Elephas maximus indicus: one gene and its partners. The main gene of each other region encodes a partner of the protein of the gene in region 2 in a complex. Links are inferred from orthologs where the notes say so. Each region holds a gene or a part of one and is shown on either strand. Other genes may lie near its edges. The genes, in order: CNOT10, CNOT6L, CNOT2 and CNOT9.

Region 1 (8,270 bases), on a different chromosome or scaffold from region 2:
TCGAGATGCACGCATTTCCCTTGGTTGGTGTCCTGCTTTAGTTTCTTTTACTCCAGAACAGTTAACCATTCTTCTTTATCAAGTCCCTAACTGTTTTTTAAAGAGTCTAAGCTGGTTATCTTGCAGAATACCCCACATTCTGGGTTTTTCTCATTGTTTCCTCATGACCACACTCAGTTCGGCATTTTTGGAAAGAATACTACATAGGTAATGTGAACGTGGGAATATTTGTAATTTTTAATGTTAATATTTTTCTTTTTTCTGTTAAAAACCTGTGTTTTGTTTTTAAAAAGGTGTTTTTTATATTTCAACATCTCCCACAGAATATTCTGTTTCTCAATTCTACTCACCAGTAGATATTTCATGCATTAACTAAAAGACCAGTGACAGTGACCACTGCAAAAATGTGACTCCGACATGTAAGAGTAAAGTCATCAGAGACTATCGCCCTGGGATGCTCTTTAAACTTGGAACTCAAACCACTCCCAGAGGTCACCTCTCAGCCAAATGACAGACTGTCCCATAAAATAAATAATATCACCTGTGAGGACTGTGCTCCCCAAAATAATTATCCAGGTGAAATCAAAGGCTTAACATTTACCCTAGACAAAAGATGAGAAGGCTAGGGGGGACAGGAAAACTGGATTAACGGAAACAGAACAACTAAAATAGAAATAATAAGAACGCAGAAATATTGTGAAGAATGTAACCAATGTCACTAGACAATATGTACAAAATTTGTTAAATGAGAACTTAATTTCCTATGTAAACTTTCACCAAAGACACAATATATAAGAGTAATGTCATCATTTGTGACTTAAAGAACAACTTCAAAGTCTCATGATATTTGGATTTCTTATTTACATGTTCACTTTTTATTACAAAACTAATAAATACATATAAAGTACAAAGCGGCTCTACAATCTCTACCCCGAATAACTGTCAACAGTCTGACCGCACTTCTATCCCACTTTCCAGGATTTTTGCTCTGACCCCTCTTTCACATTTGCAAACCATCAGGTACTTAGTAACAGTAATGATCAATTACTTTAATAATGTGTTGAAATGGGACGCAGGATTACAGGACCCCAGAAAGCACAGGAGGGGGTTAGGTTGAAGCTCAACCCTCAACTTATCACATTATATTGATGATAAAATTTTAACAATGAATACAAATACTTTTTACATGTTTCTCTTTCCATTTAAGAGTTTAGGAAACGCAAGTTCTTAAAAAATTACCTTTCCCCTATAAGTAAGTATGGAAACCCTGCTGGCATAGTGGTTAAGAATTCGGCTGCTAACCGAAAGGTCAGCAGTTCCAATCTACCAGGTGCTCCTTGGAAACCCTATGGGACAGTTCTACTCTGCCCTATAGAGTCGCTATGAGTTGGAATCGACTTGATGGCAACAGGTTTGGTTTTTTTGGTTTGTAAGTATGGAGCCTTCGTGGCATAGTAGTTAAGGGCTCGGCTGCTAACCAAAAGGTCGGCAGTTCGAATCCACCAGCCGCTCCTTGGAAACCCTATGGGGTAGGTCTACTCTATCCTACGAGTCGGAATCGACTTGATGGCAATGGGTTTGGTTTTTATGGTGCATATTTAAACCAAATGCCAAAAATTCTTAGCTTGCCATCAAGTTATCTTTATAGCTTGTTCCAAAATATGCCCCTTCTAGACCAGATGACATTCTTTAACGGGTCTTCTGGGCCTAACTGTTAGAGACTGACCATTAACTATAGGGCACAAGGATGCACTCAACAATTCACCAAGGAGTCAAGGAGTTTAAGCTTCTATTCTCCGTGAAAAGCAGAGTGGTGCATGTGGCCACTGCTGTCGTCATCCCCTAGGGACTGCAAGTCTCCCCAAATTCTCCAGGAAAGGAAAGAAGCCAGGTTTTAAATAAATAAGCTGGACTTTAAGCCTGACAAGAAAATCTGTGATTCTTGTATCTACACCTGTTTCAAAGAACTGAGCTCAATAAATAACCTTTTACATGTTAACCAACTGTTATTTTACCTAAATTCTTTCACTTTAGCATGAAAATTTACTGTTTTTTTTAAAAATACACTATAGTGAGAACGCTCATTTTCTTTTTATCTTTTTGCACTTTTCAAACGTTCTATGATAAATACGTATTTCTCCTATAATTGGTTTTTAAAATTTTTTAAAATCATTATTTGTAACTGCTAATTTCTTACCAGTTAGAGCCTGCACGTAATTCCACAACATTTCTTTATTTGTCCAAAAGTAGTCCCCATTGCCAATTGAAAGAGAATATGATGATGGGTCTTTCAAAGGCTTGACTTTCCTTTTACTCTGACCTAACGAACATGGCTGACCTAGGCAACCCGAGCTCTTTGCCTCACAAATCTTGACAGTCTTCAAGCCGACAGGCTTCATTTCTAACCAAACGAATGCCTTTAGGTATGAACTAAGTGGAAAAGGAACACGCTGCTTTTTCAAAACTGAAAGCCAGTTAACTGAAAGCAGAGACGCATTCCAATACAGAACACTAACAATTCAAATCTGATTGGAGCATGAGCTTCCGCGCAACCTACACTTGTCAATACGTAGCTCCAGTGATGTTCAAGAAAAGATAATTTTTCAAAGAAAAAAGGAATGCATTAAGATTGACAGAAATCTGCAATGTTTGCAAAATACTGACATGCCTTTGTGGAGAAAAGTTTTAACAAGGATGCCATTTCAAAGAAAAGTAATCCAGGCTCACCAAAGTCACCATATAGCTGAGGCTCACATACCTCACGTGTTCCTTCTAGCACCTAAACAACAAGTATACCTGAGGTATGAAAACTCCACACACAGATACCTGACCTCTACATAACTCAGAGAAGTAACAGGGGACCAGTGGAGCTACCTTCCAGAAAGCAAGAAGTACTGCATAAGCCACGTTTCCTTTTCACTGTAGGCTGGACGTGAGGAGCTGCAAAAATGGAGAGCAGACATTGCAGGGCCCAAAGGATACGCCATTCATAACCAGCAATGCTACAGAGGTGGACACCTTGCCTAGTGCTTCAGAAAGAAAGGAAGTGAAGTCCAAATCAAGAACATCAGCATGCTCTGGGGATAACCAGCAAAGCATACCCACTCCCACTGCCAGTGAGTATTTTTATTTTCATATCTGAGAGCAGTTTTTATGCATAAAAAAGACTGAGATTTACTCTAGGTTTAAACATTAATATTAGATTTGTTGAAGTTATAAATTAATAAAGCCTAGATTTTCCTCAAGCTTTTACATTCAACTTAGACATCTTATTACCCTATTTAAAGGTCTAGGAAACCTGCGTCGATTTTAAGCGGCTGTAATGAATATTTGATCTCATTTACAGAGTTAAGCTCTTTCAAACAAAATTTTCCCTACTTTAAAATCTTTAATATGTTCAATTTTAGGTACAATTGCTTGACTTAAAACATTTTCTGAGAACTTAAATACATTAATTTATAAATCTAAGAAATGAGATGGATAAATACAGTAACTCTTAGGTACTCTTTGATGTTCCATGCAATAATACAAATATAGTAAGGACTTGACTTAAATTCACAACTATAATCAATTACTCACTCATTTATACATTTTTAATCACAATAACAAGATTAATACACTGCTCCAAATTCTTAAACATTAAACATACTTAAAATATCAAACATAAGCAAGATAGTGGCATCAGCAAAATGTAACATCTTAATGGCATTAGGTAAACTTTCATTTTCTAGTCACCTGCACTCAATCCCCTCCCTAGTTTGGCACGGCCACCTTAAAGCCACAATGGTCCACATTCCCAGAGAGAGAGCCTGGTCTCTGGCTTTAGATACGGCAGAGCAGACTTTGTTGTATCTGATCTAACCTGTCCGAGGACTGCCTCAAGGACTAAAGCAAGGTGCTCATCTTGGTTTGACACGTCTGGGCTGAGGGGCAGTAGGGAACTCTGAAAAGCTGTAGCTGCCTGTAGCTAAAGAATGCAATTAAGGCACACAACAGGCACCTAAAGACTGGAAGGAAAAGCCAAGAAAGATTACTTTTGTAAAAGAAGACTTTCAAAAGCACCTTGTATATGGAGGAATTAGCAAGGCACACGCTCAGAAATTACCTTTGAAAACCATACACTTTCACGCTGGGCTGTCCTATAGGCTCAACACAAACCTGGCTAAGTGCTGAAGGAGGGCCCTAGCACAGAACCAATTTGCAAAGACAAACAGACATTACTGCACTACCCCCACCCCGGGCACTCAAGGAAATCTGTCAAAAAACTAGCTGAACACAGTTAAGGAACAGAGACTTCAGGGTCTACATATGTAGAGAAACGTAGTCTTTGCAAAAACAGTTAGGGGAAGTCTCTAAATAAATGGATTACTACAGTTCTAATGATTTAAAACAAACAATAAAACCCCCAACAGCCCCAGGGAAGGGGAAGAATCTGATTTCCAGAATTACCATAACAGTCAGATGACCTGGTTTCAACAGAAAATCACAAGGCATTCAACAAAACAGGAAAGGATGACTTGTTCAGAAGAATAAAGTAACAAAAACTGTCCATGCAAAGAAGCCTCGGATAAGCAAAGCATTACTGAAAAAGAAGAAGAAAAGTGGGAGCCCTCACTCTACCTGATTTCAGAACCTATTATACAGCCACAGTAGTCAAAACAGCCTGGTACTGGTATAACAACAGACATGCAGACCAACGGAACAGAATGGAGAACCCAGGTAAAAATCCATCCATGTATGAGCAGCTGGTATTTGACAAAGGCCCAGTGTCAGTTAATTGGGGAAAAGATAGTCTTTTTAACAAATGGTGCTGGCATAACTGGATATCCATTTGCAAAAAAAATGAAACAGGACCCATATCTCACACCATGGACAAAAACTAACTCCAAGTGGATCAAAGACCTAAACATAAAGACTAAAACGATAAAGATCATGGAAGAAAAAATAGGGACAATGTTAGGAGCCCTAATACAAGGCATAAACAGAAAACAAAACATTACCAAAAATGACAAAGAGAAACCAGATAACTGGGAGCTCCTAAAAATCAAACACCTATGCTCATCTAAAGACTTCACCAAAAGAGTAGAAAGACCACCTACAGACTGGGAAAGAATTTTCAGCTACGACATCTCCGACCAGCGCCTGATCTCTAAAATCTATATGATTCTGTTAAAACTCAACCACAAAAAGACAAACAACCCAATCAAGAAGTGGGCAAAGGATATGAACACCTACTTCACTGAAGAAGATATTCAGGCAGCTAACAGATACATGAGAAAATGCTCTCGATCATTAGCCATTAGAGAAATGCAAATTAAAACTACGATGAGATTCCATCTCACTCCAACAAGGCTGGCATTAATCCAAAAAACACAAACTAATAAATGTTGGAGAGGCTGCGGAGAGATTGGAACTCTTATACACTGCTGGTGGGAATGTAAAAGGGTACAACCACTTTGGAAATCTATCTGGCATTATCTTAAACAGTTAGAAATAGAACTACCATACAACCCAGAAATCCCACTCCTCGGAATATACCCTAGAGAAACAAGAGCCTTCACACAAGCAGATATATGCACACCCATGTTTACTGCAGCTCTGTTTACAATAGCAAAAAGCTGGAAGCAACCAAGGTGTCCATCAACGGATGAATGGGTAAATAAATTGTGGTATATTCACACAATGGAATACTACGCATCGATAAAGAACAGTGACGAATCTGTGAAACATTTCATAACATGGAGGAACCTAGAAGGCATTATGCTGAGCGAAATTAGTCAGAGGCAAGAGGACAAATATTGTATAAGACCACTATTATAAGATCTTTAGAAATAGTATAAATTGAGAAGAACACATACTTTTGTGGTTACGAGGTGGGGAGGGAGGGAGGGTGGAAGAGGGTTATTTACTGATTAGTTAGTAGATAAGAACTACTTTAGGTGAAAGGGAAGGACAATACTCAATACACAGAAGGTCAGCTCAACTGGACTGGACCAAAAGCAAAGAAGTTTCCAGGATAAACTGAATGCTTCAAAGGTCAGCAGAGCAAGGGTGGATGTTTGGGGACTATGGCTTAAGGGGACTTCTAAGTCAATTGGCAAAATAATTCTATTATGAAAACATTCTGCATCCCACTTTGAAATGTGGCGTCTGGGGTCTTAAATGCTAACAAGCGACCATCTAAGATGCATCAATTGGTCTCAACCCACCTGGATCAAAGGAAAATGAAGAACACCAAGGTCACACAATAACTATCAGCCCAAGAGACAGAAAGGGCCACAGGAACCAAAGACTTACATCATTCTGAGACCAGAAGAACTAGATGGTACCCAGCCACAACCGATGACTGCCCTGACAGGGAGCACAACAGAGAACCCCTGAGGGAGCAGGAGATCAGTGGGATGCAGACCCCAAATTCTCATAAAAAGACCAGACTTAATGGTCTGACTGAGACTAGAGGAATTCCGGCAGTCATGGACCCCAAACCTTCTGTCGGCCCAGGACAGGAACCATTCCCGAAGACAACTCATCAGACATGGAAGGGACTGGACAATGGGTAGGAGAGAGATGCTGATGAAGAGTGAGCTACTTGTATCAGGTGGACGCTTGAGACTGTGTTGGCATCTCCTGTTTAGAGGGGAGATAGGATAGAGAGGGTTAGAAACTGGCAAAATTGTCACGAAAGGAGAGACTGGAAGGGCTGACTCATTAGGGGGAGAGTAAGTGCGAGTACGGAATAAGGTGTATATAAGCTTATGTATGACAGGCTGACTTGATTTGTAAACGTTCACTTAAAGCTCAATAAAAATTATTAAAAAAAAAAAAAAACTGTCCGTGGGAAAGCCCAGATGACGGACTTTAAAACAACAGTATTAAACATACTCAAAAGGTTAAAAAAAAAAAAAGGAAATCAGGAAAATGATGTATGAATAAAACGAGAATAGAGACTATCAAGAAAAAGACAGACATTATTTTAAAAAAGAATGAAAAATACCAGAGCTGAAAAGAATAACTGGAATGAAAAATCCACTGTAGGGGTTCAACAGCAGATTTGATCTGGCAGAAAAAAGAACCAGTGAACACAAATATAGGACAATTACTATCAAGTCTGAGGAGCAAAAAGAAAAGAGAGTGAACAAAAAGACATCCCAATTAAAAAATGGGCAAAGGACTTGGATATGTCACCAAAGAAGATATACGAATGGACCACAAGCACACAAAAAGATGTTCAACATCATTAGTCATTAAAACCAAACCAAACTCACTGCCACTGAGTTGATTCCGACTCATCGTGACCCTACAGGACAGAGTAGAACTGCCCCACAGGGTTTCCAAGGAGTGGCTGGTGGATTTCAACTGCTGACCTTTTGGTAATAGCCAAGCTCTTAACCACTGTGGTTATGTGGGTGAATGTCCTTACTTCTAGGAAATGCGTGTTGATGCATTTAGAAATGAAGTGCCAAGTTGCCAATAACTTATTTCCTAGTGATTCAACATTAAAAGTTGTGGCCAAAGATAGAGGAAACACGTATGGCAAAATGTGACAACTGTTGAACTAGTTGGTGGGTATATGGATGTTCATCTTACTTTTAATTTATTGGCTGTTTAAAACCTTTTCTAATAAAAAAGTTTTTAAAAAATACCAAATACGAACAACTTTATAGTTACCGAATCAATGTCCTTCAATTGGTGTAGGCTCTCACAGCCCAGAATCCTAGGTGGGTGTTCAAGTCCTTACCTACAAACCCTGCCTACAAAGCCTTCACTTGCCTGAATTTTGCATTTGTTTGGCATAAATGTACTTCTCCAGATCTGAAAAATTTGAATTTGAGAGAAAATATAGGAGAAAAACCACAGAATTAAATATCTAGTAGGACCATTCAATTCTTTCAGCTATTAAAATTATACTCAACTACTAGGGCTCCTTGGAGAAATGGCTAATTCTAGTGCTGGGGTATAGCAGACAAGACATAAGTCAGGAATATTTTGTTAAGGTGGGGAAAAAAAATCTGTCAACAGCTTGACCAGGTGATTAAATTATCACGATAGTCAATGGCAGATGGACATATATGCCTCTACATGTGACGCCCTGATTGCCACAACACCCCTTATGTAGTAGTCTACCTGGAAATACATAAATTCATCCCTTTGCTCATGGTAGTAAAAATACATGCCACAAAACATTCACCAGTTCGACAATCTGTATGTGTGCACGTCAATTTCAGTAATACTGATTATACCCTTCATGTTGTGCAACCATTATCATTACC
Region 2 (8,426 bases):
TTAAAAGCTTATTTAAGTAACATTATTTTTAAAAACTAAACACCTTCATTTTATTTTAATATAATTCCTTTAAACAGTGATAGCATGTCCAGTTCTACTATTTATAAATTTCACTGTCCAAATATCTTAATAGTTCAACATCATCTGTTTTCATGATTATTACAGATAAATGTTCTACCCAATTCTCCCAAACTAAAAATATATACGTATAAGTTGCTTTAAGATATGATTCATAATATTTAATGAAAATTACCTAAATGTAAACTTCATTTTTTTCTTTGTTTTTAAAGTATTAAAAACAATTTCATACTTTTTAAGGTGAGACTTCTTCCTTTAAATATATCTCTATGGCAGATGATTCTGTTCATTGTAAACACACATACATCCACAACAGAAACTGGCTATTTTAACAAAACATGACATTTTGCATTCTAATAAAGTTGTCCCTGTTGCCCTTCACAGAAAGTGATGTTAAATGACTTGAAATTTTAGTGATTTTCTAGATTTACAAATATATATTACTAACATTGTTGATGGAAATAATGATTTAAGGCTTAATTGGGAAACATGGCATTTGTAAACAGGGACATTCCAAATTTAAACCAAAGAGATGTCTCCTATACATTCTCTTCACCCTGCCTTTATCAAATAAAAAAGGAGAAAAAAAAAATTCATTACTTAACCTCTCAGCTGCCCATACCTTAAACTCCATTCTTTTTTTCACAATAAGGTTAAAATGTAATGAAGAACACATATACTACTCCACAAATACTAATAAAAATGGGAAATTATTTAAAGGTAAGTTGACAGAGGATTTTAGCTTACATTCAGGAAAATATTCCAAGGGGTTTTGTTTACTGGAATCAATCAATATGAACTAAAAGAACTGCATAACGATTTTGAGGCACTTACACTTTGTTGTCCTATGTAGACAAACTCTGATTCCTTGACTTTTGTAATGCTTGATTTTACTAGAACATAGTATATGTGCTACATATAAAACTTTTTTTAAAAAATTGCAAGAACTACATAGTAAGAATTAGCTAAAAAAGAGTAATGAAACTGAGAGATGGGCTATTCGCAAATACGAAAATAAAATTAAGTATGACTATATTCTCTACAAACTAATATAGTAGGCTATTTTAATGGCAACCTTATTCCTAAAAAAAGATTTCTAATATACCATGCAAAAGTTATATATTTATATATATAAAAGTTGTGTATTACATGTACATGCATACACACATATACACATATTCATATATATACATATATCCTATGTGTATCAACTGACTCTGAAATACTTTTTGATTTATTAACTTAGTTATATAATATTGCTGTAGGTAATGAGTATTTTTATTTAGAAATGATTTTCAAAGCCCAAAGTCAGGGATGCAGGAGGAGAAATTAAAATTTAACTAAGCATCTACTATGTGTGAGACATGTTTTCTCATTCTAGCCTCACAACAAGTTTATTATAAAGGCATCATTATCCCCACATTAGAGGAGAAACCAGGTAGCTTGCGTAAGGTCAAACAACTAAGAAAAATGGCACAGTCTGGATTCTGAGGTCTGTAAAACAAGTCCTTTTTCCTCTAAACTACATCTGTTGTTTTTCCAGTAGTGATAACAGAAAACAGCTCTCTATCCCACCTTCCCTTCTCCTCACTTCCCAGTGAATACCCTCCAAAAAACCAAACCCGTTGCCGTCGAGTCTATTCCGACTTACAGCGACCCTATAACACGCACTATTTCTTTGAGAGCCAGGTTGAGAAAGGAGCAACCTCTGGTCAATATACACAGCACAACCTATAGGGACAGAATTTATATCATACTTTCTCCACAGGGTTCAAGCTAAATGAGCTAAAGGGGAGGGAGCAGAGTAGATAAAGTAAATCAGCAAATAATTATATTTAAATATAAACGCCATTTGTATTTGGCTTTGAAAACATCACACGCAGATGTGTCTTTACAATTTCATTTTGCTTCAACTACTCTCAAAATAGCTTTCCAGGATCTCACAGTGAGTAGACAATAAAGGCTGCCTCTGATCTAGGTTTTGGAGACTTGAGTAAACTCAGAGGAAAATGTGTTTGTTGTGCATGACTATCTTGACTGACAAGATAACTAGAGGCAGGAAGGTAGTGCCTCCCAGTATGTAGTATGGTGCTTCCAATGTGTACAAAAGGTTCAGCTGAACTCCCTGAACACAATTGATCTAAACAGCCTAAACCAAATAGTCGTCAGAATTAAGAGGATGACAGCTCCAGTATTAACTTCCTCTTCCTTACCAACCTCCTCAACTGGGCATGTACTCACCTTTCCCCCTACAAGGAAGGACAAAACAATTCAGATGCACAAAATCGATCCAATCCCACCCACCGGTAACACAGGCCACTAGAGTCAGCTTCCCTTCCTTCTCCCGCGCTTCCAAGAAGATATTTACCTTTTTAAAAAATGCATATATCTTATCACCGAAAAAGTATCTGAAAGGAAAAACGCAAATATTTACTCAGTTCCTGCGCGTACCCTTAAAGGAGGGATGAGAAGCAGGGACCTCGACGCCGCGTATTCCTGAGATTTACTGCTTTGATTCACTTTCCCTCGGGTCCCACAGCTGGCGGGAGAAAAAGCCTGCAGTTCGAAGGCCAAAATAAGCCTTCGCCTCTCAGGAGACTCGGAGGCGGCTGAGGAGACGGGAATCGGCGCGTCCCGCCTCTGACCTCCACCTGCCCAGGCCCGAGGCAGCGCCCCGGGCCCGCGAGGGCCGGGCGTCCGGGGAGGCCGGCGGGCGCCGAGGCGGTTAGGCCGCGTTGCAGGCCGGCGCGCTTCCTGCCGCGGCCCCAGGAACAGCGGCGCGGCCCCGACCCGCAGCTCTCCGGGCCCAGCCGCTGTGTGTCTGCCACACACAGGCTCACCCCTCCCCGGCCCGACCCCCGCCGAGCAGCTCTCACCTGCGAGGTTCCGTTGCACTCGGCCACAAAGGGTGACGGACACACCACTCGGGGGTCCCGGACACACGGAACCCGCCCCCCGAGTCCCGGGCCCAGTGCATGGACCCTCACACACACACCCCGGAACCCTGGCTCGCTCCCACAGAGACGCGGGTCAGCCCCATTAGCCCCTCCAGTCACTCGACACACACCCACTCGCTGTGGGTCCTCAGGCCGCCTCCTCGCCCGCCAAAGTCCCAAATCGCACAGCCGCACGCACATTTGTTCCTCTCCCACCTCATTTCCCCACTGACGCGCTCCTCTTCCCAACATCCTCGAGCCTCCTCAGAGGTACAAAAACACACTACCTCATTCTCTTCCTCGGGCCCAGAAGGAGCAACAGCAGCCATTTCCCCGCGGCAGGGGACACACACACACAAACACACGCGCGCGCGTTCACCAGGCCCCCACAGATGCTTCCCCTCCGGAGCCGCGGCCGCAGACGCAAACACAAACACCCACGGGCGGGCCTGGCTCCCGCCCGTCCGGATGGGAAGCGCCGCCACAGGCAGGGCCCAGGTCCCGGGCTCGCGGGAGGGCGCGCTAGGCGCCCGGGCGTGGGGTCGCGGAGGGGCCTGCATCCCCTCCTCACCTGCATTCAGCGCGCCGGGGTCCGGGCGGCGACGGCGGCGGCGGCGGCGGGGCGGCTGGTGCTGGTGCTGCGGCGGCGGGGGTGGCGGTGGCGGCGGTGGCGGCGGGGCTGAGGGCAGCAAAGACATGCAGGCAGCCCGCCGGGGGGAGAGGGACCGGCCGGAGGGGACGCGGGGCGGGCAGGCCGGGCCGGGCTGCCTGAGGAACGGCAGAGACGGCGACGAGAAGGACAGCTGAAGGGAGCGAGGAGAAGGGGGTGGGGAGGGGGACGAGGGCCGCGCTGCCGGGCTTCGAGGACGGTGACCCTGAGAGCGCAGGAGAGGCCCCGCGGCCGCGGCCGCCGACGCCAAGGCCCCGCCGAAGGGAGCTGCGCCTTCCCAGCCGCCGAAGCCGCGTCTATTACTCCAGGAGCAGCTCGGAGCCTGGCCTTGGCCTTGGCCTCCTGCCGCTGGGGCTGCCGCCGCTGTGGGGGTTGCTGCTACGCCTGCTGCTGCTGAGGCCGAGGCTGCTACACAGAGACGCCAGCTTTCGGTGCCTTCGCTAGCGCTCACACACGTTCACACCCCCGAAGGCCGGGGGAGAGGCGACCGGGCGATATCGGTTTTGAGATTAATAACAAGGTGCAGAGAGTGCGAGAAGGAGGAGGGTTGATTGACGTGGAGGGGCTGGCGGGAGTCAGTGAATCCCCTGCGCTGAGGGGTGGGGTGAGGGGGAGGAGGCGGAGCAGCGCCGGGGCGGAGCTCCAGAGCCGCGCCTTGGCCCCGCCCCTTGAGTGTAGCGTTTTGTCGAAGTGCGCGTGCGCTGGGCAGTGTTCTTGGCCCTCTTTTTCATTTACTCTTGCTGTTTCTTTCTTCGTTTTCTTGGCTCGAGTGACGAGCAGAGCTGGGAACGCTGGTAGGTTATCAAACACACAAACACAAAGCCTCACCCGTGTTCTTGCGTGAGCCCGGCGATGCTACAAGCTTGCCTGAGGCAGCCTGACAACGAAGCCGAGAGCTGGTTTGGGTGGCTAATGAGACATCACATGAAGTGAGGAGACCAAAGAAAATGTTTCCTGACACCTTAAGTGAGTTTTTCAAAAATGTGTAGTATGTGTAAGTTGTATCGTCAAAAGTAAATAAAAGAACCTGTGACGCTCTGGGATAACCCGTCCTATTTTCAAGTTCTCGCTTCTCGCGATAGAATTACATTGTTTGGCAGTTTATGTGTGCCAACTACAGGATGAAAACATTAAGATGAAAACTAGAAATATTAATGTTTCCTTGCAGAATGTGGTATTGACATTTTAAGTTTCTGGGGTTTAATTTCATTAATGTGGGTCAACTTCAGCTTTCACCAACAGCAGTACAACAAGCAAATTACACAGGCTCTAGGGGCAAAATACTACTGTTGCAGTTTTGAGCAATTTCAATCTCTTTCGCAATGCATGCTCCAGGATTGTGTATTTCTTGGTCAAGGGTGTATGAATAGCGTTCGGTATTTTTTCCCACAGGAGATTTGTTTAGGACACTAAGCACGTTGTGTTTGCTGCAATTAAATCTTAGGTTCTATTATTGAATGTAAAATGCTTTCATCTCCTGGTGCGGGGGAAGGTGAAGTGAAAATGCAAATGATCGTTTAGCCAGAACTGAACAGCTATTAAGAGTTCACCTTTGCAGAAGCACTACTGCACCACTTTTATCCTTCTCACCAGGAAGCATGAGAGAGTGACTGAGTGAGTAAGTGAAGAAGCCCCTCAGGACAGAGAAGACCTAAGGCTACTTTGTTTTTCACCTGTGTTTTAAGTTTACATTTCCTAGCAACACCACCGCCATACTGGCTTTTGTAATAGGTGTCAAAATGACCTTAATCCTGGAAGAAGTCCCATTCATTCCCAACTATCTAGAGTATAGGCTGACTGTAATGAGTAAATATCTGGCTTTGTAAGCAATAAAGCCAAACAAGTCACTTTAGGAGCCTAGAATAATAAACCTCCCTTGATGCCACAGCATTTCTCCTTGGCACACACACTCTCCTCCTGAAGGAGAAATACTACCAAATGTTGAAGAAATGAGGGAAGGAAACATCTGAAAAAATATGAATTACATTATATGATAACCTCAGAGATTTAAGTTTCTTCAAATATCATAGGTGTATAGATTTCTAAGTATTCAGTCATACAGTAAATAAGCATATGTAGAGGAGGTATTATGTTCCAGACACTGTATGTGGCATTGGAGATACAAAGTTAAGCATATACAATCCGTTAAGTAGCTGTAGGGGAAGCAGACATATAAACAGGAAATTCTCACAGAACAAACCAGAAATGAAAGTATGAAAGGTAGCACAAAATTAAACACAACAAATGTCAGAGGATAAGGTTGATGTGATAAGGCTGACATTTTCACTTCAGCCATATGATATCTGACCACCCTCACAGGCTGACTAGCTGGGGGAAGAGGGGAGGGCGATGTGGATGTTAACACTAATGGTAGGGTTTGCTGGTGCTGAAGCTCAGGTTTATATATAGAATGTTCATTGCTGGCTTCTAGTAAATGCATCAACATCCACTGAAAAAGAAGGTAATTATAACATTTAGAGTTAATAATAGTAGATATTATTATGAAAAGGTCAATTGAATGCAGTTTGAGTTTAAATAGCCAAAGATGTTCTTTGTATAGCATATTAAATGAATTGACTTACTAAAAACAAGGAAGCAAAACTTGTATAATTATCTGAAAAATAGATTGTTTTTCTTATTTGCAATAAGATTGAGATTAGAGAAACAATAATTTTTAAAGTTGTACAAATTATATTAGCTGAGAAATTAAATCTTTGTAGATATAAAAAAAAAATAATTCCCTCTTAAGACTGTAATTCAAAAGACAAATGCCAACAGCAAGAGTAGCACTTCAGCCATTTTAAAAAACAGTTTTATAGTAGATCAAGGTTTGGAACAAAATAGTAGCCTGCTTTTGATATCTTTTCAAATAAGATTTCAGTGGGAATTATTCATGTTTGTCAGATATTATCATTTTTTAATTAAGACTAGAAATAAGAAAGCAATGAAAAAAATCTCCCTTTGAAGAAGTGATTTATACATTTGAAAGCTTCTGGCTTAAGTAAGCCCTTTTTGACCAAATTGCTTTAATAGCAGCAGTGTGTAGGTACAATTTGTTCTGAAACAATATTTGTTTATTTGTATTACAGAACTAGTCCATTCTTTCTTAAAAATAAAGTACTTGATGTTATAGAGACCACCTGTTTCTGTTTCAAATTAGCAAATAATATTTGAATAAATCTTCCTATCTGTTGGTAGCGACACAGAAAAATCCTTTATCTTTCCTTGTCACTATGTGCCTTTATCTCTTTTCCGGAATTCTATTGAATAGCTTGCTCAAAAAGCTAAGATTTAAATTTTTGACTTAAGAATATTATTACTACTGGGTAAAGAATCAATTAAATGATTTTACTCATTTCAATACATACTTTTATACCAATAGGTATATAACTTTTCAAGTAAAGTGGCACATTTAAATGTATTCGGTAAGTAAATTAATTTATTAATTAGTAAAATAATTCATTGTAATTTTACTTGATAGTCATTAGTACAATAACTTTTTTAACAAGCACTAATCAGAATAATCTTAAATTTTTACTTCTTAGACCTCCTGACAGGGCCTCCAAACAATTTTACAGTGACATATTCTACCTTTCATTGAACTACATTCTTCTCTGTCTTCTCACATTTTACTCCTCTAATTCCTCTTCCTCTCTATATATCCCCATGGCTTTATTTCTTATCTTTCTGTAAGACACCGTCTACCATGGGTATGTTCCTCCAAGGAGGTTGAGTTTACTGATTTCCTTTGCCCTCTCTGTGTCCACCCACTCTCTCTTTCCATCACTCCTTTTTTGTTTCTTTCCCCCAAAACAACAGTGGGTGACACAAACGACCATCACACTATCTTAGCCAAAGGTAAACATTTTCCATCATTACTGATAGTATGCCATATGATACCTCAGTCATAGATAAGATGGTAAATAGGCAAAGTTAATCTTGGTACCCTCCTGCTTCCTCTTTCTGCAGTCCCATTCTCAAGTCCCTTCATCTCTGAATATTCAGAATCTCCACCCCAACTCTGTCAACCTCAGTACCACTCTATTTGGTACTTCCTGTACCAGGCAAGAACCACCACCAATAAATGTCCAGTTCCTCAATTTGTCAAGGACTTGAAGATAACTGACATGCTATCCAACCAGTAAAATGCTGTACTCCAGGGATCCTCATAGAGTCCGCAAAGGTATGTTTCAGAAGCCACCTAGAGTACCCAGAGGGGACCTGGTAGTTGGGACCTCAACTAGAACGCCTGTGTTTTATGTTTTACGTATTGGCCATCTATTTGTCTGCCCATTAACCTTCCTCTTTCTGTGAACAGTGTGTCCTTTCATTCAGGGAACTATTCCTGCCATTCCAGTGGCAGCTGCAGCCCAAGAAAGTCCCCCAGCGTCTTGGCTCAAGGGTGGGCTTATGATTCAAACAAAAACAAGCGAAGTTCTTCCCCAGGATATTTTCAGGTGGAACTAAGAGAAGAAGGACTCTCCCTTGGCTCTAAGAGTAGAGCCAAGAAGGAAGTCTGAGAGTGACCAGTGGCCACTTACTGCCTTGTGTAGCATGAAGCTAGCACAGAGATGAGAAATGCAGAGAGCAAGTCCTAGCAGTTCTCCAGTTCCAGGTTTCAGTCATCCCTGGGGTCTAGTTGCACCTTTTTCACATAGCGTGGCTAAATTAACTAGTAAATTCTCTTCTATATCAAAACTAACTTGAGTTAGACCTCTGGAACCAAAGCATCCTGACTAATA
Region 3 (7,987 bases), on a different chromosome or scaffold from region 2:
GTAGTCAAGCACTTAACTGTCTGAGCCACCCAGGGAGGGACCTTGTTCATGGATACAGAGACTTATTAAGATGTCAATTCTTCCCAATTTGACCTATAGATGAAATGCAATCCCAATCAAAACCACAGCAAGTTATTGTGCAGATAATGACAAAATGGTTCTAAAGTTTATATGGAAAGGCAAAAGATCAAGAAAAACCAACATAAGAAGAAGAACGGAGCTGGAGGATTGACACCATCAGACTTCAAAAATTACTATAAAGCTATAGTGATGAAGACACTGGTGAAGGAATAAACATACAAATCAGTGGAACAGAATAGAGAGCTCTGAAATAGACTCATGCAAATATAGTCAACTGATCTTTGCCAAAAAAGCAGGGGCAGTACAATAAAGAGTCTTTTGAACAAATGATGCTGGAACAACTGGACATCTACGTGCAAAAAAGTGAATCTAGATCACAGACCTAAATGTAAAATATGAAACTATGAAATTTCTATAAGATAGCATAGGAGAAAATCTAAGTGATCTTGAATTTAGCAATGAGTTTTTAGATACAATACCAAAAGCACAATGCAAGAAAAAAAGAAGCTAAATTGGACTTCATTAAAATTAAAAACTTCTGCTCTGCAAAAGACTGCTAAGAGAATGAAAAGGTAAGTCACAGACTGGGAGAAAATGTTGGCAAAACACGTATCTGATTAAGGACTTGTATTCAAGATATGCAAAGAAGTCTTAAAACTGAACATTAAGAAAACAAACAAGCCAATTAGAAAGTGAGCAAAAGATGTGGACACCTCACCAAGGAAGATACACAGATGGCAAAAAAGCATAGAAAAAGTATTCAAATCATGTATCATTAAGGAATTGTACTTTAAAATAAAAATGTGATGCCACTACATCTATTTAAAAAAGCAACAAAAGTAGATGCAGTCCACTCGATTCCAATTCATGGTGATTCTATAGGACAGAGTAGAACTTCCCCATACGGTTTCAAGGCTGTAATCCTTAAAGCAGCAAACTGCCACATTTTTCTCCTGTGGAGCTGCTGGAGGGTTCAATGTGCCAAACTTTCAGTTAGCAGCTGAGCACGTTAACCACTGCACCACCCCAAAACTGACAATACCAAATGCTGGAGAGAATGTGAAGCAGCAGAAACTCCCATTTATCAATGGTGGGAATGCAAGTTGGCAGTCACTTTGAAAGACAGTTTGGGTAGTTTCTTATAATGCTAAACACAGACTTAACATATGATCCAGCAATCATGCTCTTAGGTATTTTTCCAAATAAACGGAAAACTTAAGTCCACACAAAACTGCACAAGAATGTTTATAGCAGCTTTACTATAATCGAATGGTAAAACAAACTATGGTACACCCACACAACGGAGTATTATTCAGCAACAAAAAGAAATGAGCTAACCTGGTCAGGAAAAAGGAATCTTAAATGCTTAATGCTAAGTGAAACAAGCCAGTATGAAAAGCTACATACTGTAAAATTCCAACTATATGACATTCTAAAAAAGGCAAAAATATACAGAGACAATAAAAAGATCAGTGGATGCCTCCAATTCAGAAAGTGGTAGCGGATGGGGAGAGTGAATAGGTGGAGCACAGGGAATTTCTGGGGCAGTGAAATTATTCTGTATAATACTGTAATGGTGGATACATAGCATTATGCATTTGTCAAAACCCACAGAACTGTTCAACACAAAGAGTGAACCTTAATGTAAACTATGGGTTTTAATAATGTTGTTGTTGTTGATAAGTGCCCTCAAGTCAGTTCTGACTCATAATGACCACATGTACAACAGAATGAAACACTGTCTGATCCTGCACCAGCCTCATAATCTTTGCTATGCTTGAGCGCACTGTTGCAGCCACTGAGTCAATCCATCTCCTTGAGGGTCTTCCTCTTTTTTTCTGACCTCTGCTTTATCAAGCATGATGTCCTTTCTCCAGGGACTGGTTCCTCCTGATAGTATGTCCAAAGTACGTGAGACGAAGTCTCGCCAACCTGACTTCTAAGGAGCATTCTGGTTGTACTTCCTCCAAAACAGATTGTTCTTCTGGTAGTCCATGGTATATATTCAATCATCTTTGCCAGCACCATAATTTAAAGGAATCAATTCTTCTTCAGTCTTCCTTATTCATTGTCCATCTTTCACGTGCACATGAGGCAACCGAAAATACAATGGCTTGGGTCAGTCACACCTCAGTCCTCAAAGTGACATCTTTGCTTTTGAACACTTTAAAGAGGTCTTTTGCAGCAGATCTGCCCACTGCAACGCATAGTTTGATTTCTTGACTTCTGCTTCCTGGGACAATGATTGTGGATCCAAGTAAAACGAAATCCTTGAGAACTTGAAAGGAAATCTTTGAGGATTCAATCTTTTCTCTGTTTATCATGATCTTGCCTATTGGTCCAGTTGTGAGGATTTTTGTTTTCTTTATGTTGACATGTAATCCATACTGAAGGCTGCAGTCTTGGATCTTCACCAGTTAGTGTTTTGAGTCCTCTTCGTTTTCGGCAAGCAAGGTTGCGTCATCCGCATATCGCAGGTTAATGACTCTTCCTCCAATCCTGATACAGCATTCTTTGTATAGTCCATATTCTGGGATTATTTGCTCAGCATAGAGATTACATAAGTATGATAAAAGGATACAACCCTCATACGCACCTTTCCTGATTTAAAACCACGCAGAGCATCCCCTGTTCTGTTTGAATGAGTGCCTCTTGGTCTACGTACAGGTTCCTCATGAGCACAATTAAGTGTTCTGGAATTCCCATTCTTCATAATGTTATCCACAATTCTTTATGATCCACACAGTCAAATGCCTTTGCATAATGAATAAAACATAGATAATGTCTTATTTAATAATAATGTATCAATATTGGTTATCACCTGCAACAAATACAGCCCACCAACGCAGATGTGAATAACAGCAAAAATGGTAGGTAAGGTAAGAAGAAGTATACAGGAACTCTACCTTCAATTCCATTTTTCTGTAAACAAACCACTCTAAAAAACAGTCTATTAATTAAAAAACAAAACACACCATTTGAAGAATATCATAGTTAAAGGAAAAGGAAGATTATCAACCAAATGGATTCCAAAGGAGAGGTGAGAAAATGAGACACTAAATCTAAATTTATATTTTTTAAAAAGACCAACAAGAATCTAATTAAAAGAAATACATAAACCAAATGTTAATTAATGGAAAGAAACAAACTTATATGTCTCTAAGTTTCTCTAAATCAGAGCCTAATAAAAATGTTGCATGCAATAAACAGTACTTGGATTAATGAATATTAACTGAACCCCAACTTCTTTCAGAAAATAATTAAAAAAAAGAATTTCTCAAAACAGGAAATCAATATATTTTGAGTAAAATTTCTAGAAAATACTTTATTGGAGAGGGGAAATACTTATTAAAGTTTATTCTTTTAAATTTCATGTCACCAAATAAAATATGCTAATGGAACAAGAATCAGGAAGTCTGAGTTGAAGTATTAGCTTGATCAATTTCTCCTTTCTAGTCTTAGTTTCCTAATGTGTAAAATAAGGTGGTTGATCCAAATGAATTTAGAAAACACATCCAACTCCAAAATTGTCTATTTTCAATGTTCGGTGTCAAGGCAATGCTCACAGGAAAGTGGACAATTACAGATGTCCTTTTCTATGTTGTCTTTTTTTCTTCCCACTGCACTATTCAATAGTATACAAAAAATACCCCAACATTTTACGGTTGCCCTCGTGGCACAGTGGTTAAGAGCTCAGCTGCTAACCAAAACTTCTGCAGTGTGAATTCACCAGTTGCTCCTTCGAAACCCTATGCGGCAGTTCTTCTCTGTCTTATAGGGTCACTATGAGTTGGAACCGACCTGACAGCAACTCGTTTGGTTTTGGTTTAATGGTATCTGAAAGGAGCCCCAGTGGCACAGTGATTAAGTACTCTGCTGCTAAACCAAAAGATCAACGGCTTGCTCCATGGGAGAAAGATATGGCAGCCTGCTTTTGTAAAGATTACACCTCGGAAACCCTAGTTCTACTGTCTTACAGGTCAGTATGAGTTGGAATCAACTTGACATCAATGGGTTTTCTTTTAACGCTATCTGAAATAAGTAAAACATGGTAGTCATTACCATACTCAACTTTGAGCTAAAACGTGAGGAATTTGGTCAAGTTATGATTGTTGAACCAGCTGGACGAGTTTTCTTTTTCTGAAATAAACTCCGAAAAAAAAGCAAACCCACTGCCATCAAGTCAATTCTGACTCATAGTGACCCTATAGGACAGAGTAGAACTACACCATAGGGTTTCCAAGGAGTGCCTGCTGGATTCGAACTGCTGACCTTTGGGTTAGCAGCCGAGCTTTCGACCACTGCGTCACCATTCTTTTTTGATATAGAGAATTTTATATACCAGGCTGGCTATTAATTAGAACAGACTACCAGATGTGGCCAATTTCAATGGAACTCTAGAGTAAGCTGAAGTAAACACACTGTGCTCTTACCCTTAAAATTCAAAGGTTTTTTAGATTCCCTAACTATGTCAATCAACCTTTTCTGATTAGTAAATGAATCACAGCCACAAAAACACTTCCTTGCCCTTATGAACTAATTTCTGGTTTGATAACACAGACGAATGTTTTCACAATGCTCTAAGTTATGAACCTAAGCAATGTCACTGAATTGTACATATAAAAATGCTGAATAGGCAAATATTTGTTTACATGTATTTTTACCAGAATAAAATGATTTAAAAAATGTTCTGAGTTAATCACTCCTTGGTACATATGAGAAGTGTCTGCCAGTTTGTCATACTGTGGGGGCTGGCATGTTGCTGTGACTCTGGAAGCTATGCCACTAGTATTCAAATACCAGCAGGGTCACCCATGGCAGACAGGTTTCAGGCGAGCTTCCAGACTAAGGTTAGAAAGAAAGGCCTGGCGGTCTACTTCTGAAAAGGTTTAGCCAGTGAAAACCTTATGAATAGCAGTGGAACACTGTCTGATATACTGCTGGAAGATGTGCCCCTCAGGTTGGAAGGCACTCAAAGTATGACTGGGGAAGAGCTGCCTCCTCAAAGTAGAGTTGACCTTAATGATGTGGATGGAGCCAAGCTTTCAGGATCTTCATTTGCTGATGTGGCACGACTCAAATTGAGAAGAAAACAGCTGCAAACATCCATTAATAATTAGAATGTGGAATGTACAAAGTATGGATCTAGGAAAACTGGAAGTCATCAAAAATGAAATGGAATGAATAAACACTGATATCCTAGCCAATGGTCAACTGAAATGGACTGGTGTTGGCCATTTTTAATCAGATGATCATACGGTCTCCTGTGCTTGGAACCACAACTTGAAGAGGAATGGCATTGCATTCATCATCAAAGTGAACATTTCAAGCAGCTGGTATTTAAAAAAGGCCCAAAGTTTGTTAACCAGGGAAAAGACAGTCTCTTTAGCAAATGGTGCTGGCATAACTGGATATCCATCTGCAAAAAAACGAAATAAGACCCATACCCCACACCATGCACAAAACCTAACTCAAAATGGATCACAGACCTAAATATAAAATCTAAAACGATAGAAATCATGGAAGAAAAATAGGGCAACACTAGGAGCCCTAATACATGGCATAAAACAGAATACAAAACATTAGTAACAATGCACAAACACCAGAAGAGAAACTAGATAAGTGGGAGCTCCTAAAAATCAAACACTTAACGTTTATCCAAAGACTTCACCAAAAGAGTAAAAAGACAACCTATAGCCTGGGAAATTTTTGGCTATGACAAATCTGATCAGTGTCTAATGTCTAACATCTACAAGATACTGCAAAACCTCAACAACAAAGACAAATAACCCAATTAAAAAATGGGCAAAGGATATGAACAGGAACTTCACCAAAGAAGATACCGAGGTGGCTAAGAGATACATGAGGAAATGCTCACAATCATTAGCCATTCCAAACAAAAAAACCAAGCTCAGTGCCATCGAGTCGATTCCGACTCATAGCGACCCTATAGGACAGAGAACTGCCCCATAGAGTTTCCAAGGAGCGCCTGGCAGATTCAAACTGCTGACCCTTTGGTTAGCAGCTGTAGCACTTAACCACTATGCTACCAGGGTGTCCCATTAGCCATTAGAGAAATGCAAATCAAAACTACAATGAGATTCCATCTCACCCCAATAAGGCTAGCATTAATGTAAAAAACACAAAATAATATATGTTGGAGAGGCTGTGGAGAGGCTGGAACACTTACACACGATGGTGGGAATGTAAAATGGTACAACCATGTTGGAAATCAATGTGGTGCTTCCTTAAAAAGCCAGAAACAGAAATAACATAAGATCCAGCAATCCCATGCCTTGGAATATATCCTAGAGAAGTAAGAGCCATCACATCAATAGAAACATGCACACCCATGTTCACTGCAACACTGTTCACAGTAGCAAAAAGATGGAAACAATGTAGGTGCCCATTAACGGGTAAATGGATAAACAAATTATGGTATATTCACACAATGGAATACTATGCAATGATAAAGAACAACAGTGAATCCTCGAAACATCTCAAAACATACATGAATCTGGAAGACATTTTGCTGACTAAAATTAGTCACAAAAGGAACAAATACTGTATGAAGCCACTATTATAAGAACTCAAGAAAAGGTTTAAACAGTAACACATTCTTTGATCATTATGAGGGTGGGGAGGGAGGGAGAGGGGTAATCACTAACTAGACAGTACACAAGAATTATTTTTGGTGAAGGGAAGGACAACACACAATACAGGGGAAGTCAGCACAACCACATTACACCAAAAGCTAGTAAGTTTCTTGATTACGATCAAACACTTCAAGGGACAGAGTAGCAGGGGTGAACCATGCAGCTGGGGACCATGGTTTCAGGGGACATTTAGGCCAACTGGCATAACAAAATTTATTAAGAAAATATTCTGCATCTCACTTTGGTGAGTGGCATCTGGGGTCTAAAAAGGTAGTGAGCCAAGCAAGCAGCCATCTAAGATTCAACGACTGGTCTCAACCCACCTGGAGCAAAGGAGAATGAAGAACGTCAAAGACATAAGGAAAATATGAGCCCAAGAGACAGAAAGGGTCACATAAACCAGAGACTCCATCAGCCTGAGACCAGAAGAACTAGACAGTGCCGGCTACAAGCGATGACTGCCGTGACAGGGAACACAACAGCAAGTCTCTGAAGGAGCAGGAGAAAAGTGCAGTGCGGAACTCAAATTCTAGTAAAAAGACCAGACTTGATGGTCTGACTGAGACTAGAGGGACCCTAGAAGACATGGCCCCCAGACCTTCCGGTAGCCCAGAACTAAAACCACTCCCGAAGCCAACTCTTCAGACAAAGATTAGACTGGACTATAAGATATAAAATGATATGGTGAAGAGTGTGCTTCTTGGCTCAAGTAGATACATGAGACTAAATAGGCAGCTCCTGTCCTGAGGCAAGATGAGATGGCAGAAGGGGACACAGGAAATACAGGGTGGAGAGGAGGAATGTGCTATGACATTGCAGGGAGAGCAACTAGGGTCACATAAAAATGTGTGTATATGTTTTTGTATGAGAAACTGACTTGAATCATAAACTATCACTTAAAGCACACACACACACAAAAAGAACATTTCAAGATCTATCCTGAAGTACAACGCTGTTAGTGACAGGATAATATCCATACACCTACAAGAAAAGACCAGTTAATATGACTATTTTTCAAATTTAGGCACCAACCACTGAGGCCAAAGATGAAGAAATTGAAGATTTTTACCAACATCTGCAGCCTGAAATTGATCGAACACACAATCAGGATGTATTGATAATTACTGGTGATTGGAATGCGAAAGTTAGAACCAAAGCAGACAGACTGGTAGCTGGAAAATACGGCCTTGGTGATAGAAATGATACCAGAGATCGCGTGACAGAATTTTGTAAGACCAACGACTTCTTCA
Region 4 (7,597 bases), on a different chromosome or scaffold from region 2:
AGGTAGGAACTAAAATCCCAAGGCTGAAGTCTGGAAGCAAGTCATTTAACCAGTGAGTGAAGTGAGCCAACCACTAAGCAGTTTGTCATTCTTGTTCAATCTTTAGAATAATCTCGTGTGGTATTACTGTCCCTATTATATTCTATGTTGGCAATAACAAAGTTGTTAGGATGTATTCCCTCAAGAATGACAAGTCTACTACATCAAAACCAAATCCATTGCTGTCGAGTTGATTTCGACTCATAGTGACCCTATTGGACAGAGCAGAACCGCCGCACAGGGTTTCCAAGGCTGCCATCTTTCCGGAAGCAGACTGTCACATCTTTCCCCTGTGGGGCAGCTGGTGAGTTTGAACCAGCAATATTCAGGTTAGCAGCCAAGTGCTTATCCACAGCTCCTTGTCTACTGCACAGTTCTAGCATAATAAAATATTACTCTACTCTCAAGATTTAAGGTACTTCCCCAATTATCTCAATCTCTCCCTCTACAAAGAATAGCCTGAATTCACGTGTGATCACATCATCCTATGATAGTACTTTCTATCTCCCTGCCTGAAGAAATAACTTTCCTGCTATTTAAAAAAAAAAAGAAGGGAGAAGGGAGTGATAAAGGCACATACACAAATATAAATTTTCATTATTGGGCAATATGTAAGCATCTTCTCAAGTAGCTTAGATTATTGTGGGTAATGTTGCATGTATTATTAACTCTCCCCATCTTCTAATGAGTGATATACATCATTATTGTCCTTTTACCCAGATCATAATTCCCAGTTTGGTCTAACAGATGACATGAGGGATTGGGAACGAGGTGAGTCAACTTTTCTATGCCTCAGTCTCCTCACTAATCAAATAGCTCAGTGGATGAGTGGTACAAAGGAACTTGTCAGAGCTGCTGTACAGTCCAACTAGTGTAACAGGTGCAAGTACATGTAAAAGTTTAAATTCTTAAGTAAATATAAGGCATTGTACATTGAAGAAGCATATACTGAGTATTTATTATTCTTAATGTACCACAGCTTCAATGGCTGTTCAAAAGATGAACTATTGAAAATAAAATTGGAGAATGGCTTGGTATCAAAAGTACAAATCCTGGGGAAGACAAAGATTTTGAGAGAGAGCCAACCTTACAAGAATCTCCCTCAGTTTAATCTGCCTCTCTCCTGTTTTCTTTTTTCCCCTACCAGCAGCAGCCTTACCTTGCAATGTACTTCTTCCCAAATTTGGGAGGTAGAATAAAAAAGCTAGGGAAATTAAAATCAAATTAAGATTTAAAAAGTACCTCTCCACAATTACAAACATGGTGACAGGAGACAGAGATGCCACTGGCCCTGGAAATGATGACTTGATAAGGATCAAATCTCAGAAAGCAATGTTTGCTATAGGCTAGCCACACTTGGCTCACTTTTTCTTCAGTTGTTATATTTAAAGTTAAGGCAATTTCTTTTGTGCTCTATTTAGAACTTATGTCATGTTGCCTGGTAATGCAATTTCAGCACGTTATTATCTGCTTAAGTCACTTTGTCCTTGGTGAAACTGAAAAAGTAGGACTGGCATGCAGAAGCGTTCACTAAAATCAAATGATCCCTTTTTCCCATTATGGCTACATGTTCTCAGTGGTCACCTCCTGCATTTATATTACTTCACTGAACAAAGTATTTGAGTTACTAAATGGTAGCAGAAACTATCCTAGCACTGGGGAAACAATGTAAACAGGACCCAAATGATCCCTGTTTCTGTGTTCAAGGGGGAGGACAACAAGCTAGTAACTTCATACAATAGCTACATATTAGGATCGGTATTAGGCAGGGTACTCTGAAAGAGAAAAGTTGGCTACTCTGAATAAGGTGGCCAGGGAAGGCCACTCTGAAGCACATTTAGGTGGAGACCAGAAGGATGAGAGCCTGTTACACCCACATGGTGTGTGTGTGTGTGTTTGTGTGTGTGAGACACACAAACACACACAGAGGGAAGAAAAGCATTTCAGACATAGAGACCAGAGGTGCACCCAGGAGTGGAAAAGCACATGGAGGAGGGTTAGCAAGGGGGCAGTGTAGCTAAAGCACATGGAGCAACTGACATAAGAACCAAATTAAAAAACCAAACCCGTTGCAGTGAAGTCGATTCCGGGTCATAAAGACCCTACAGGACGGAGTAGAACTGTCCCATAGGGTTTCCAAAGAGCAGCTGGTGGAATCCAACCGCTGACCTTTTGGATAGCAGCCGTGCCCTTAACCACTGTGCCATCAGGTTCCAGTGACATAAGACAAGGCTGAAAACGTGAGTAAGGACGACATCACACAGGGCCTTGCAGGCCATGGCAAGGAGTCTAGATTTTATCTAAGTGCAATGGGAAGCCATAGAAGTACTTCAGACAGGTGAAATACACGTTGCGCTTTTCTTGTTAAAAGAGCACGCTGGTAAAGCCTGGTAAGCTGTTGGGACGAGATGTGTGAAAGGTTTTAAAAGCAAAGAATCATAACCAGATGCATATTTATTCACTTCTCCGGGCTTCAGGTTTTCCATCTGTAAAAGCTAGTGGTTTGAGCTAGAAGCCATTCCCATCCTGCTGCGTTAGGCAGTAAGTTCCGAGAGCACCGGCCGCGTCAGATTTACCACGGGATCCCCCTCGGCCCCGCCGGCGCCCAGCACACCATTGCGGCTCTCAAACTGTTGGTCAGCGTAAGGAATCAATGAATGGCCGGCCCGGGCCGCGAGGGAGACGCTCCGGGCGCTGGACCAGGCCCCAGGGCCGGAACAGAACGCTACGCGCAGAGACAGGCAGCGAGAGCCGTCAGCCGAGGAGAGCGGCGGCCAGCCGCATCGCAGGAAAGGCGCGGCGAGGAGGGAAGCAGGGCCTCGCCGGCTGAGGGCAGAAGGAGCTGGACTCGGGGCCGACACAGGGAGCTGGGAGAGGAGGTCGAAACGCAGGGCTGAGGAGGGGTTCTGGGCCCAGGCCGGCCGGTCCAGCCACTCACCGCAGCCGTCGCCAGGCTGTGCATGTTGGGGGCGGCCGCCACTCTCCTCCTACCGCCGGACGCGCCCGATCCGCGTCCTGCTTCAGCGCCGCTGCCGCCGAAGATGATGAGCCGCCGCAGCCGCCATCCGCCTCCGGCTCGCTCCGCCCCCTTCGCCGCCCTCTGACCTCTCACCCCTGACCCCGCCCACACAACCTCTTCCCGCCTCCCTGCCCTCGGCGGAGTTAAAAGTCTCACAGTATGTCTTTTGCCCCTTAAGATTCAGGGAGGACGTCCGCGACCCGCTAGTCCCCGTATCCCCGGCTTCAAGTAGGCATCCTTACGGGTGTGAACTCTGACCCTCCTTCGGAAGCCAGTGAAGGGCGGGAAAAGAGGAGCAGTCTCGGGAGGCCTGTTAGTGCGCATGCCCGACTGGGCTCAGTAGGAGGGAAATGGTGGGAGCTCGAAAGGGGGATGAAATGGAAAGTGCGCGTGCGTACTACAGTCACGGCAGGGGCGGGGCTTCTGTGCAGGGCGTCGCTTGGTGCCGAGGCGGGGCGAAGGCGTAGGAAGGGCGGAGTTATAGGCTTGCGCGCACGCCTGGTTTGGTCGCGTCGAGTGTGCGTGCGTGCGTGCGTGTTTGCGTGTGGTCACAGTTCCCGCCATCAGCCGCTCTCCCTGACTGGGGGAGTGAGCGGCCCCGCTCCACAGTGGCCGGTACCCCTACTTTACTCCCGGTTCCTCCTCCTCCGCTCGGACTCTGTGTTTCCGGTAGGCCTGTTCTGGGGCTCCTGACTCGCAGGCACAGGTAAGGCGGGCCCGGCAAGCTTCTCAACTGAGCTGTTTCTCCCAGCCCCCCTCCCCTTCGCTGTCCGCCCACTCGGCGTTCACTCTTAAAGAGTTCACCGCGCTGCTTCTCAGCCCGCCCCCCAACCCCTCGACGGTCCCTAGCCTCAGATACTCGACTTGGGGCTTCCCCCCAGGCTCTCCCTCTCTTAAAACCTGGTCTTTACTGTCCCGTGCCCTCCGCAGTCCGAAACTGGCTCCTGCTGTCGTCCACCACTTGCCACTTAATGAGGCCTGCTGTCTCTTCAGGTGACTTCCGTTGCCGCACATTCCATCGGGTCCTAGACATGATACTCAATTCAGTCTCTGGACCATTCTTCACTTTCTTTCCTCTCCTAAGTATCCTTCACCAAAAGGCATGAATTATATTTTTTGTCGTGCATCTGTCTGGTGTTCCCCATTTCTGGCCATCAGATTAGGTTGTCAGGTTTACCCGTTTTAGGTTATGATCCGCAGAAGGAAATGGTAATTGATGGCAAAGCCCTGTATTCTGACGAGTTGTCCTGTAATGGTTTTGTGGTGGTGGTGGTGGCTGGGTGCCCTCGAGTCGTTCTCCACTCCTAGTGACTCCATGTGACAGAGTAGAACGGCCCTGGAGGGTTTTCTTGGCTGCAGTGTTTATGGAAGCAGATCACCAGGTCTTTCTCCCATGGAGCCGCTGGACCAACCTTTTGGTTGGCTGTCGAGCTCGTAACCATTGTGCCACCAGGGCTGTTTGGTTTTGTTGTAATCCCCTCAAAATGTTAGCTCTGTGAATGCCTTTTGCGGGGGGGCGGGGGGGAGGTTGCTAATGCCAGACAGGAGTCTCTGGGTGGCTCAAATGGTTAATTTATGGACTACTAACTGAAACGTTGGCAGTTCAGACCCAGCTAGAGGTGCCTCAGAAGATAGGCCTGGCAATCTGCTTCCAAAAAGTCATAGCTTGGAAAACCCTATGGAGGAGTTCTACTTTGCACACATGGGGTCACCACGACTCAAAATTGACTGGATGGCAACTAACAACGATGCCTGACGGGCCTGTAACTGGAAGAGCTATCTTAAAGGAGATGTCAGGTAGACAGTTGGATATGCTGTTGGAGCTCAGAGAAGAATTTCTGGGCTGACAATTGTATATACATGTGTACACCTGTAAAAAACCTGTTGCTGTCAAGTCAATTCCGACTCATAGGGACTGTATATATACACATAAACAGAGAGTCATGTTGGTAGTAATTGAAGCTATGGATGTGGATGAAATTGCATAGAGTATAGTGCTAGAAAAGAAGGGGACCTAGGAGGGAGCATTGAAGAATTCTTAACATTTAATAACTGGATAAAGGAGAATGAGCCTTGCAAAAGAGATGAAAGAAGTTGTCAATAGTGTTGAATTCTGCTGAAAGGTAAAATTGAATGAGGACTGAAAAAACCCTGGTGACATAGAAGTAATTAGTGATCTTAGTAAGAGGTGTTTCTATTTTGAATATCTGGACTTCAGCCCTAGGTCCTCTTCTGCTTTTACTTTTGCCTTCCATAAGCCTCAAATTCCATCTCTACATTGAAAACTTAAGAATGTTTATTTCCCATCCAATCCCTTTGCTTTGAACTCCACATCTAAATAGCCAACTGCCTGTTTGACATCTCTACTTAATTTTTTCAGAGGAATTTCAAATATAACATGTCTGAAACATGTCTTGGTCATTCTTCCCACACCCAAATTCTTTTTCTTCCAGTGTCCCATTTTATTAAATGATACATCCATTTATCCAGTTACACAGGTTAGAAACTTGAAAGTCATTCTTGGCTTTTCCCTCATCCTGTGTATCCATACCCTCTCCAAATTCTATCTATTATACTTCAATATATGTCTTGAATCTATTTCTCTACATCTTCACTACCACCTTTTTTAGTTCGAGCTACAGTCGCCTTTCACCTGGACTTAATCTCACTGGTTCCAAGTATTTTCATCTGTAAAATGGAAATAATAAAAGGTTCTACCTTATTGGATTGTTGGGAGGATTAAATGAGATAACCACGATGAGCACTTGGTACATGGTAAATGGCCAATAAGTGTTACTTGTTATTGTAATTGTTGTTATAAGCCGAACAACTTAAGTATTCTATCTGGTTGCTCTGTTTTCTTCTGTTCTTGCTCCCTCCACTGTTCTTGTCCCCAGACCCAAACAAACCACGTCACTTCTCCATTCAGCAGTAATATGGCATTTTCTCTGCTTAAAACCCTCCCATGCATCTCCCATCACTAAGTGCTTATTACACTGAGTTAAAAAAAAAAAAACAACCCATTGCCGTCGAGTTGATTCTGACTCACAGTGACCCTATTGGACAGAGTAGAACTGCCCCATAGGGTTTCCAGGGAGTGGCTGGTGGATTCGAACTGCCAGCCTTTTGGTTAGCAGCTGTAGCTCTTAACCACTAAGCCACCAGCATTTCCATTATGTTGAATAGTAAAGATCAAATTCAGAATCCTTACTGTGGTCTGTAAAACTGTGTAACTCGGCTCTTGCTTCACTAGCTTCATCTTGCACCATTCTCTCTGTCACTAAGCAGCATCCATGCTGCTACTTTTCAGTCATGCCAGGTTCTTACCTATCTCAGGGCCTTTGCACTTTTATAAAATAAAAAAGAAATTCTTTTCTGTTTTCTTGGATTGTTCCAGCACCACCATTCCCCAATCAACTTACTTAATTTTCTGTTCAAGTGGTACTTTTCTTAATGTTCCCTACCCTTTACCACCAAATCTTAAATACCCTGTTGTAATCTCTCATCTTGCCCTGTACTTTCACTTTTTATCACTTATTGGAACTTGTAATTGTATATTTACTTGTGAAATTGTTTAAAGTCTGTGTTCTACTAGATTACAAACTAATGACCATTTCTACTTCTCAAAAAATTGTTAAATGAGTAAACTGGACTTAAATAACAACCATGAGTCTTTTGGAAGGACCAGTTTACTGATTATTGTCATTTTAAGACAGCTACCTTTTGCAAAAACAGAGGACCACAAGAGAAAAACAAAGAGTTTTCCAGCTTTGGGTCATTATACCCTTTCATATGTCATAAAATCATTCAGATTCATTCTTTGAATTGGAGATAAATTTTATGTAGGCTAACTTCCTTCTTTACTTTCAGCCACACCACTAATTTTATCTTGTTGTGTGTTTGTCATATGGATCTTTTTAGGAAAGAAAGCCCTTGGAAATCAGAGCAGTGGTTTATATATATATATTTTAGCAACGGGGTAGACTGTGAGACCAGTGAGGATGAGGTTTCCAAAATAGATAAAGCAAAATTCCATATTTAAGTCAGTTGGTGGTGGTGGATATGGGAGGAAATGTTAAAATGTAATAGTTTGTGTAGAACAGGATTTGTATTTAGAAATAGGAAGTGTATGAATCCCAAACACAGAGAAGCATTTGAATTTCTTTTATGGGTAGTCATGAGCTGTTAAAAAGGGGAAGGAATTAGCATCAATCAATTTAGCACTTACTAAGAGCGTTTTCTTGGAATATATAGGAAGATACGACTTTATTTTCTCCTTCAGCGATGAAGTTAAGGTGACGATTACTGCATAACTTAGCTGATAATGCCCAAAGAGTAGCCGTTAGAAAGGATATTATAGTGTAAAAGATTCATTGGGTGAAAAAAATTGAGAGAATGGAGACTGGAAAGCAATTGATGCAGTTCATGGATGAGGATGGAATATAGAAATGTGGGCTCTGGCAGTACTTAGTTTTGTTTCTTCCTAATTCTGTGACCATGGATAAATTACTTACTCCCTCTAAGCCTATTTGCCTATCT

Evidence for each region.
Region 1: CNOT6L (region 2) and CNOT10 share a complex: the UniProt entries of both Homo sapiens proteins name them as parts of the CCR4-NOT complex. The link is inferred for Elephas maximus indicus from reciprocal best matches to the Homo sapiens genes CNOT6L and CNOT10.
Region 3: CNOT6L (region 2) and CNOT2 share a complex: the UniProt entries of both Homo sapiens proteins name them as parts of the CCR4-NOT complex. The link is inferred for Elephas maximus indicus from reciprocal best matches to the Homo sapiens genes CNOT6L and CNOT2.
Region 4: CNOT6L (region 2) and CNOT9 share a complex: the UniProt entries of both Homo sapiens proteins name them as parts of the CCR4-NOT complex. The link is inferred for Elephas maximus indicus from reciprocal best matches to the Homo sapiens genes CNOT6L and CNOT9.

Annotation. Positions count from the first base shown.
Region 1 is NC_064845.1:6,926,589-6,934,858, forward strand, and holds the start of CNOT10 (CCR4-NOT transcription complex subunit 10), read right to left. Parts: upstream 3,357-8,270; 5' UTR 2,400-3,356; coding exon 2,198-2,399; intron 1-2,197. UniProt on the Homo sapiens protein: Component of the CCR4-NOT complex which is one of the major cellular mRNA deadenylases and is linked to various cellular processes including bulk mRNA degradation, miRNA-mediated repression, translational repression during translational initiation and general transcription regulation.
Region 2 is NC_064823.1:79,349,570-79,357,995, reverse strand, and holds the start of CNOT6L (CCR4-NOT transcription complex subunit 6-like), read right to left. Parts: upstream 3,323-8,426; 5' UTR 3,307-3,322; coding exon of another isoform or gene 3,302-3,306; 5' UTR 3,056-3,301; coding exon 2,955-3,055; intron 1-2,954. UniProt on the Homo sapiens protein: Has 3'-5' poly(A) exoribonuclease activity for synthetic poly(A) RNA substrate.
Region 3 is NC_064822.1:131,515,295-131,523,281, reverse strand, and holds the start of CNOT2 (CCR4-NOT transcription complex subunit 2), read right to left. Parts: upstream 3,048-7,987; 5' UTR 2,788-3,047; coding exon 2,678-2,787; intron 1-2,677. UniProt on the Homo sapiens protein: Component of the CCR4-NOT complex which is one of the major cellular mRNA deadenylases and is linked to various cellular processes including bulk mRNA degradation, miRNA-mediated repression, translational repression during translational initiation and general transcription regulation.
Region 4 is NC_064824.1:117,130,513-117,138,109, reverse strand, and holds the start of CNOT9 (CCR4-NOT transcription complex subunit 9), read right to left. Parts: upstream 3,203-7,597; 5' UTR 3,002-3,202; coding exon 2,978-3,001; intron 1-2,977. UniProt on the Homo sapiens protein: Component of the CCR4-NOT complex which is one of the major cellular mRNA deadenylases and is linked to various cellular processes including bulk mRNA degradation, miRNA-mediated repression, translational repression during translational initiation and general transcription regulation.